2 linked regions of the Canis lupus familiaris genome follow. The protein of the gene in region 1 purifies or fractionates together with the protein of each later gene. This does not show direct contact. Links are inferred from orthologs where the notes say so. Each region holds a gene or a part of one and is shown in the gene's direction. Other genes may lie near its edges.

The links.
Region 2: the proteins of TESK1 (region 1) and RABEPK purify together in Homo sapiens (affinity purification with mass spectrometry; 3 studies listed by BioGRID and IntAct, with this or other methods). This does not show direct contact. The link is inferred for Canis lupus familiaris from reciprocal best matches to the Homo sapiens genes TESK1 and RABEPK.

What each region holds. Positions count from the first base shown.
Region 1 is NC_049232.1:52,460,352-52,464,935, forward strand, and holds the start of TESK1 (dual specificity testis-specific protein kinase 1), read left to right. Parts: upstream 1-1,558; 5' UTR 1,559-1,573; coding exon 1,574-1,792; intron 1,793-1,904; coding exon 1,905-2,026; intron 2,027-2,156; coding exon 2,157-2,205; intron 2,206-2,728; coding exon 2,729-2,875; intron 2,876-3,202; coding exon 3,203-3,285; intron 3,286-3,461; coding exon 3,462-3,552; intron 3,553-3,806; coding exon 3,807-3,890; intron 3,891-4,042; coding exon 4,043-4,132; intron 4,133-4,273; coding exon 4,274-4,388; intron 4,389-4,584. UniProt on the Homo sapiens protein: Dual specificity protein kinase activity catalyzing autophosphorylation and phosphorylation of exogenous substrates on both serine/threonine and tyrosine residues.
Region 2 is NC_049230.1:57,944,264-57,948,069, reverse strand, and holds part of RABEPK (rab9 effector protein with kelch motifs), read left to right. Parts: intron 1-1,149; coding exon 1,150-1,299; intron 1,300-3,205; coding exon 3,206-3,355; intron 3,356-3,806. UniProt on the Homo sapiens protein: Rab9 effector required for endosome to trans-Golgi network (TGN) transport.

The sequences.
Region 1 (4,584 bases):
CCGGAGGCGTCGGCCGGATCCAGCGACGTCACTCTAATCCCTGGCGGTAGTTGGCTATTTCGCCGACGCCCGGGGGGGAGGGGCAGCCAGCGGAGAACCGGAAGCTCTGGGTACGGCGGGTGCGCGGGGCGTGCGCGTTCCGGGCCCAGCGCCGACGGGAAGGAGGCCGGCTGCAGCTCTCCCTCTAGCCGGAGGGGGCAGACCGGATTCCTACGAGGTGGAGGGCCGAACCCTCCCGAGGCGGTCACACTCCTAAGGGCTGGGGCGCACGGAGGGGAGGAGCCACGTTGAGAGGAGGGGTCACAAAGACCGGTGGCGTCTCTCTGAGAGGTGGGGTCTCGTTGTGAGGGAGGAACACACAGAGGAGGGACGTCGCCGGGAGGGGTCCCGGCGCCGCTGACGGCGGCTCTCTCTGGAGAAACGGTCGCCCTGCGGGGAGGGGTCTCACTGAGGGAAGGGGAAGGGCCCCTCGGGGGGCGGGGCTTCTGCTGAGGGGCGGGACCCCACGGAAGGAGGGGCTTCCGGGCAGGTGGAGGCTTCTCTGCCGAGAGATAGGGCCGTTTGCTGGAAAGAGTAAGGGGAAGGTTCGGGCCGGGTGGTCACCGGGCGGATACCCCTCTGCTCCTTTGAACTGTGTTCCAGGGAGGCAGGATGGAGTAGGGAGGTGTGCGGGGCCACACCGGGGACGGACTGGCCACAGGCTCGCGAGGGCATCGGAGCCGCCCGAGAGGGGCAAAGGTGTCCGGGAATCCAGAGGCGCAGGGGTGGAGACCTGGGAGATGGGCAGGCCGGGCCAGAGCGGGGGCCGGGAAGGCAGGCAGGCTGCTGGGCTCCCTCCGACCGTGGCTGGCCCGGAAGGGGCTACTTTTCTGCCCCGCTGGTCCACGGAGCCCAGGAATCCGGCGGCGTCCTGAGCCCGGCTCTCAAGTCCGTGGCCTGAGGGTGGGAAGAGAGAAAGGGCAGCTGGAAGACACCCGAGCCGCGCGTACGCGCAACCAGCCCGTAATTTCCTTCAGCCATTTAGCTCGGGCCTGAACTCTCTTGGCCCCAACGTCCCAGACCCGCTCGCCTAGGGTGTCGCGGTCACCGCTTGCGGGGTGCCTACCTGAGGGGGCGTGGCCGCTGCCCGGGGGCCGGGCTGGAAGGAGTTAAGCGGAGGCCCGGCTCAGCCCCGCCCCCGGCAGGCCGCGGAGCCTGAGCCCCAGCGGCGAAGCGGAGCAGCGGCCGCCCGCCCGCCCGCCAGCCCGCCCGCCTCCGCCTGCGGGGAGCCCGCCCGCCGCCCGCCGCCCGCCGCCCGCCTGCCCGCCGGCGCCCAGGAGAGCCGCCGCCACCGCCCGGCCCAGGCCCAGGCCCAGGCCCTACGCAGAGCGAAGCGGAGCGGCGTCTACCCGGGCCCTGCAAGCCGGCGCGGCGGGGGCGGGCCCAAGATCTTCCGCGGATCTTCCATTCTCCAGGGCGGGAGCGGGAGCCCCGGCGTCCGGGATCGGGCTGGGCGCACGCCCATGGCAAGCGCGGCCTGCCCGGGCCCCGGGGACCCTGCCATGTGAGGCAGGCCCGGGCTGGGGGCCCGGCCATGGCCGGGGAACGGCCCCCACTGCGGGGCCCTGGGCCAGGGCCCGGAGAGGCGCCGGGGGAGGGGCCCCCGGGGCCGGGGGGCACGGGTGGAGGCCCTGGCCGGGGCCGCCCCTCCTCCTACCGGGCTCTCCGCAGCGCCGTGTCCAGCCTGGCGCGCGTGGACGATTTCCACTGCGCCGAAAAGATCGGGGCCGGCTTCTTCTCTGAGGTCTATAAGGTAGGATCAGCAGAGAGGGCAGAGGGGCGGGACCGAGCCTTAGACGGGAGGCTGGAACTAGGGGACCCAGACCCGGACACCCCGCGCGACCTGGCGGATCTGCCGTCCCCAGGTTAGGCACCGACAGTCAGGGCAAGTCATGGTGCTGAAAATGAACAGACTCCCCAGTAACCGAGGAAACACGCTACGGGAGGTGCAGCTGATGAACCGGCTCCGACACCCCAACATCCTAAGGTGAGCGGCCCCGGCCGCTTGCTGAGAAGCTTGCTGGGAGAAGAGGAAAGATCCCGCGGGAAAAGCGGGAACTGTAGAGGGGCCTGGACTCTTAACAGTCTACCCTTCTATCTTCCCCATCCCCTTCCAGGTTCATGGGGGTCTGTGTGCACCAGGGGCAGCTGCACGCTCTTACAGAGGTGAGGATGGGCCCGGAAGGAGGGGACCACCACCACCACCACCACCACCACCACCACCACCGCCACCACCTAGGGGGGAGAGAGTCAGGGCCAAGTGCATCTACAGAGGAATAATGAGAGGCAGCAGGACCTCCTCCCATGAGAGGCTTCCCTGAACTTCCCTTTGGGCTAACCACAAATAAAATGCCTCAGTTGGTTACATTCTCTATGTGTGCTCTAACAGTGCTGTCCAACAGAACTTTCCACAGTGATGAAAATGTTCTACAGCTGCATGTGGCAGTAGAAATATGACTAGTGTGGCTGAGGAACTAAATGTTTAATTTTATTTGAACTTAATAATTTAAACAGTTGTTCATGTCTTGGACAGGACAGCCCTAGAAGATGAGTGGGGAGGGACCTTAGAGCACAGACTCACCCTTCTGACCTTTGCGATCCTCCTGAGTGTCCTCTGACTTACAAGTGGGAGACCTAGAGTACAGATGGAAATCTTGACACTCATTCTTCATCTCCTTCTATGCCCCAGTATATGAATGGGGGGACCCTGGAACAGCTGCTCAGCTCCCCGGAACCTCTATCCTGGCCTGTCAGGCTCCGCCTGGCTCTGGACATTGCCCGTGGCCTGCGGTACCTGCATGCCAAAGGTGTATTCCACCGAGACCTAACATCCAAGGTAGGCTGGCCAGGTGAATAGAGGCATGAAAGGGATTTGAGACTGTTACACTATAACTGGCCCCCTGATGTTGGAATGTGGATAGTAGACAAGTTACGATGTTGGAGTAACAAGGCACTGGAGAATGGGGACTGGGGGGGAGGGAGCTCTGAGGGGCTAAGCATGCTATGTTTGAAGTGATAATATTGAAAGATTGGGGTACACTGGAGAACTGGGAGGTCAGAGAGAGTTGAGGTTACTCTGGAGTGATAGGGCTTTAGGGTATATATACTAGGAGATCAGAGAACAGAAGGTGATGGGTATGTGGGGATGCTATGTGTATGTCAGAACTGTCTGATACGACGGGAAGACCGAGGCTTCACGGCTGTTGTGGGTGACTTCGGGCTGGCTGAAAAGATTCCTGTGTATAGGTGAGGTGAATGCTCCTGTGCCCCCCCAAAAAAAACTTTCTAGAAGGTCCCTATCTAAGTGAAGCCCCCAGAGACAGTTCCTTTGGAGTGGGGAGGGGGCTGACCTCATCCCCTTTTGTTTAGGGGGGGGGTGTCTGAGTGGGATGTTTCTGATCACTCTGCCCCTACCCCTGCAGGGAAGGGGCAAGAAAGGAGCCATTGGCTGTGGTAGGTTCTCCATACTGGATGGCTCCAGAGGTGTTGCGGGGTGAGCTGTATGATGAGAAGGTAAGACATCAAGCCTTCAGATTCCAAGGCCTTCCAGGGACCCTTGAGATACTTTTATAAGGCCCCATCCCAAGTTCTTTAACAGCCATACTGAATATTTAGGAGACCCCCAAACCCCCCCCCCCTCAGCCCCTCATAGGCACCTCTCCAACACATGAAACCAGCAAGACTTCCCCCAAATTCTGGCATATTCTGACAAAATCCTGACATGAAAACTATCAGTTCCTCCCAATGACATTCTCTCCTCTTCCCAGGCCGATGTCTTTGCATTTGGGATTGTCCTCTGTGAGCTCATCGCGAGAGTACCTGCAGACCCGGATTACCTGCCCCGAACTGAGGTGAATGATGTCTCCAGGTTTGAAAAGGAGGCACGCCAGACTGGGCAGCTCTTAACCAAGGAGGGTTCCCTGGAGGTTGAGGTCCTGATTGGGGGTCAGAAGGAGAACCCAAGGGAGGCAGACTTGAAGGCTCCGCCTCTCTGTTCCTGCAGGACTTTGGCCTGGACGTGCCTGCTTTCCGGACCCTGGTGGGGGATGACTGCCCGCTACCCTTCCTGCTCCTGGCCATCCATTGCTGCAGTGTAAGAGCCTCACTCTCTTTCTGCCCACCACCCCCATCCGTCAGTTGGCAAGGCTTTCCTGCTCCAGGTGGTGGGAGGAAAATGTAGAGACCTTCTTTTGGAGGAGCATTGAATGAAGCTATCCCTGTTTCCACCCATCAGATGGAACCTAGCACTCGTGCTCCCTTCACCGAGATCACCCAGCACCTGGAATGGATCCTGGAGCAGCTGCCTGAGCCAGCCCCTGTCCCCAGGGCTCCCCTGACACACAATCAGAGTAAGTGAGCATGACCCTGACCCAACTGAATTCCTTTTGCCTCTCTTCCTTAGAATTCAAGGAATTAAGACTACGTGTATTTGAGTTGAGAAGTGGGAGTGGTGAAAGGATATCTCAAATAAGACATTTTCAAATTCTAGAGCCAAGGGAGGGAAGAAGGAAAGAAGAGGTAAGGGAGGGCTAGAGGTGACATCCC
Region 2 (3,806 bases), on another chromosome or scaffold:
CAGGTCTCCAGGGTCACACCCTGGGGTGAAGGCAGGCGCTAAACCGCTGAGCCATCCAGGGATCCCAATCTTCAACATTTTATTTTATTTTATTTATTTTTTTTTTTAAATTTTTTTATTTATTTATGATAGTCACACAGAGAGAGAGAGAGAGGCAGAGACACAGGCAGAGGGAGAAGCAGGCTCCATGCACCGAGAGCCCGATGTGGGATTCGATCCTGGGTCTCCAGGATCGCGCCCTGGGCCAAAGGCAGGCGCTAACCCACTGCACCACCCAGGGATCCCTTCAACATTTTAAAATAAATACATAGTATTCTATCATGACTGCAGCAATAACAACCACTCACCTATTGGTGCACTGAAGCTACTTTCAGAGTTTCTCTATTACAAACAATGCTGTGATGAACGTGTTTGTGCATAATAATTTTTCAGATTATTTCAGATTGTGTTCCTTCGAACAGTGGGGCTCCATTCACAACCTCAGGCATGCCACAAATAGTAATTCTAACACAAACTTTCGTGTTCTGAGTACTTTCTCTGAGCTTATGCTTTATGTACATCATCTCATTTAATCCACACTTCAACTGGAGAGCTAGGTATTCTCTTTATCCCCATTTTACAGCTGTAAAAACTAGAGCTTAGGGAATCACTGATGCAAGGCACAAAGTTATTCAGTGAAATGACCTTGTTTTAACGCCACAGCCTGTGTTGTAACTCTTATCCTGTACTGACTACTTCAAAAGTAGTCTTTTTCCCCCATGCTTCCAGCAAATCAATTAAAGATATTGTCTTGAAAAAGGAGGACTCTGAGGGCCTGTCACAGAAGAACCAAACTTGTTCTTTTAAACTCTGGGGCAGTTCCAGGTTGAAGCTTTTAAAATTCAAAACAAGGAATGGCTTCCTAATGCCCAGTAGAAGGAGCAGGCATGTTAGGTAGTAAATTCTCCAGCCCAGGAAGTGTTCAAGCAGAGTCTATACAGGCTTAGAAAAAGGGAGAACTGGATTGGGTTGGCAAGTTGGAGTGAATAACCCCACTGTCACTTTCTGCTTTGAGCATCTCAGCTTGCTGGAAAGTGAAGCTTGGGTCTATTTTCTCATGTTCTTGCTTCTTAGCTTTTTCATCTGTTGTCAATGAATTTACTTTTCTAGACAGTCTGACCTGGTCACAGCCAGAGACACTTGGAAAACCTCCATCCCCACGGCATGGTCATGTGATGGTGGCAGCAGGGACAAAGCTCTTCATCCATGGAGGCTTGGCAGGAGACAAATTCTATGATGATCTCCACTGCATTGATATACGTAAGTAGGATAGAGGGCATAAGGGCTTGTCTGCTTAAAATTAATTAAAATATGCTTTGATAGAATATAGCTTCACTCATAAGTGTGGGTAAATTGACCAGCCAGCAGAATCTTAGCTAGATTTGACAGATTTCTGTCAAATGTGGCCTGAATAATAATAATAATACCAATGAAAGCAATCACTTTCCGAGTGTACTCGCTATGTGCCCAGCCATTAATTATCTCTTATGTTTCCAACAACCCTGCTCTTTCATTAAAATTCATTATGCTTGGGTGGCCCAGGTGGCTCAGCGGTTTAGCCACCGCTTCAGCCTGGGGGCTGATCCTGGAGACCCGGGATCGAGTCCCACGTCGGGCTCCCTGCATGGAGCCTGCTTCTCCCTCTGCCTGTGTCTCTGCCTCTCTCTCTCTCTCTCTCTCTCTCCCTCTCTCTCCCTCTCTCTCTCTCTGTGTCGCTCATTAATAAATAAATAAAATCTTTAAAAAATTCATTATGCTTTGTATTCTCTGACTGCCATTAATCATTAACCCTATGCTCATAAGGGGCATGGATAATTTTGAATGTGTCCGGTGGTTGGTGACCAGAATTACCATGCTAAATGGTTAAAAACACCAGAAAGAGGAGTTAGGGAGAATGTGAGAATTGTCCATAGGGTCTGAAGGGCTGACAAGTCCTAGAGATCCTGGACTCATTCTGGGTCATTCTTTCAGACTATGAGCTCCCTTAGGGCTGGGGTTTTGTCTCTTTTGTTCCTCTCCAGTATATTTCCAGCACTTAACACAGTGTCTGGTAGATTGAGGGGGATGACTGCATATCTTGAGTGGATAAATAAATGTCTTTTGCGTTGCTCCAGACTACAAGAATTGGAACAGTGGGCAGAAGGCAGGAGAACTGCTGTGTAGTTTATTGGGCTACCTTGCCCAACAATGGATTCTGTGGCTCGGTGACATCTGAGGCTAGGCAACACTGGCTGGGATTATTATATTGGCAAGAGTTTTGGCTACACTGGGTAATTCTCCCTTCCAACTCTGAGATGCTGGGTCCCTGCCTTGAATTGACAGATGGAAAATATCTTCACAGAAGTGTTCCTTGCAGCAGTCAAATGGAGTTTTAATGCGTATTTTAAAAGAGAAAGCCCTTTACTCCCTTGCACTGAGGAACTACTTTCTGGCTACTTCTCACCCTTTCCTACCCCATTAATTCTCTAAACCTAAAATTCAATAATATCTTGCTTCATTTCAATGTTTGTTTGAAAAGATGCAAATATCTTTGCAGAAATAGTTTGGGAGCAGGTGCTTGAAGCAGCACATAAAGTGTGGAGAACACAGGTTCTAGCATCAGACTTGATTATCATTCTAACTGTGCAGCTTGCTGGCTGTGAGATCTTAGACAACTATTTCCCTCTTTGATGCTGTTTCTTCACCAGGAAAAAGAAAGAGAGGAGGCAGAAGTAATAGCAGCTTCATAGGACTGTTTTCGAGCAAGCAAAATATTTAAAGTGTCTAGCCAGCACTCACAAAAGTTGTTTTCTAAGGAACTGATAGTATTTAAAAAGCACACACACAGGCATGGAACTTAACTCCTTCCGGGCTCCAAATTGGTAAATGGTGACAGTCACCAAAGATATTATATTATTCAGTGTGCTCCAAAGACCATTTACATCAGACTCACCTGAGATACTTGTTAAAACTATAAAGTGCTGAGCTCCTCCTCCCTCCCTGGACACCCAAACAGAATTTCAAGCTTCCCCAGGTAATTTCTGTGCAAATTAAACCTTGCTGTATTACCTCTCAGGGTGCTTTGTGAATGACCTTCAGTGAGTGGTTTGCCCACTGCAAGAGTCTGACAGGTAAGGTTGAGTCCATATTCTGGGTCATGTTGTACCCACTTTCTTTCTCTTGGCAGGTGATATGAAGTGGCAGGAGCTAAGTCCCACGGGGGCACCTCCCACAGGCTGTGCTGCCCACTCAGCTGTGGCTGTAGGGAAACACCTGTACATCTTTGGAGGGATGACTCCCACAGGAGCACTGGATACAATGTACCAGTATCACATAGGTGAGCAGGTGTTCACTGTGGGTCTTTAAACAAATGTTTAAACAAATATGACCAGGATGCCTGGGTGGCTCAGTGGTTGAGCATCTGCCTTTGGCTCAGGTCATGATCCCGGGGTCCTGGGATTGAGTCCTCCATTGGGCTCCCCACAGGGAGCTTGCTATCCCCTCTGCCCATGTCTCTGCCTCTCTCTGTCTCTCATGAATGAATAAAATCTTTTAAAAAATAAAATAAAATAGGGCAGCCCCGGTGGCTCAGCAGTTTAGTGCCACCTTCACCCCAGGGCCTGACCCCAGAGACCCGGGATGGAGTCCCACGTCAGGCTCCCTGCAGGGGATCGAATCCCCCTGCAGGGAGCCTGCTCCTCCCTCTGCCCGAGTCTCTGCCTCTCTCTCTCTCTCTCTCTCTCTCTCTCTGTCTCTCATGAATAAATAAATAAAATCTTAAAATAAAT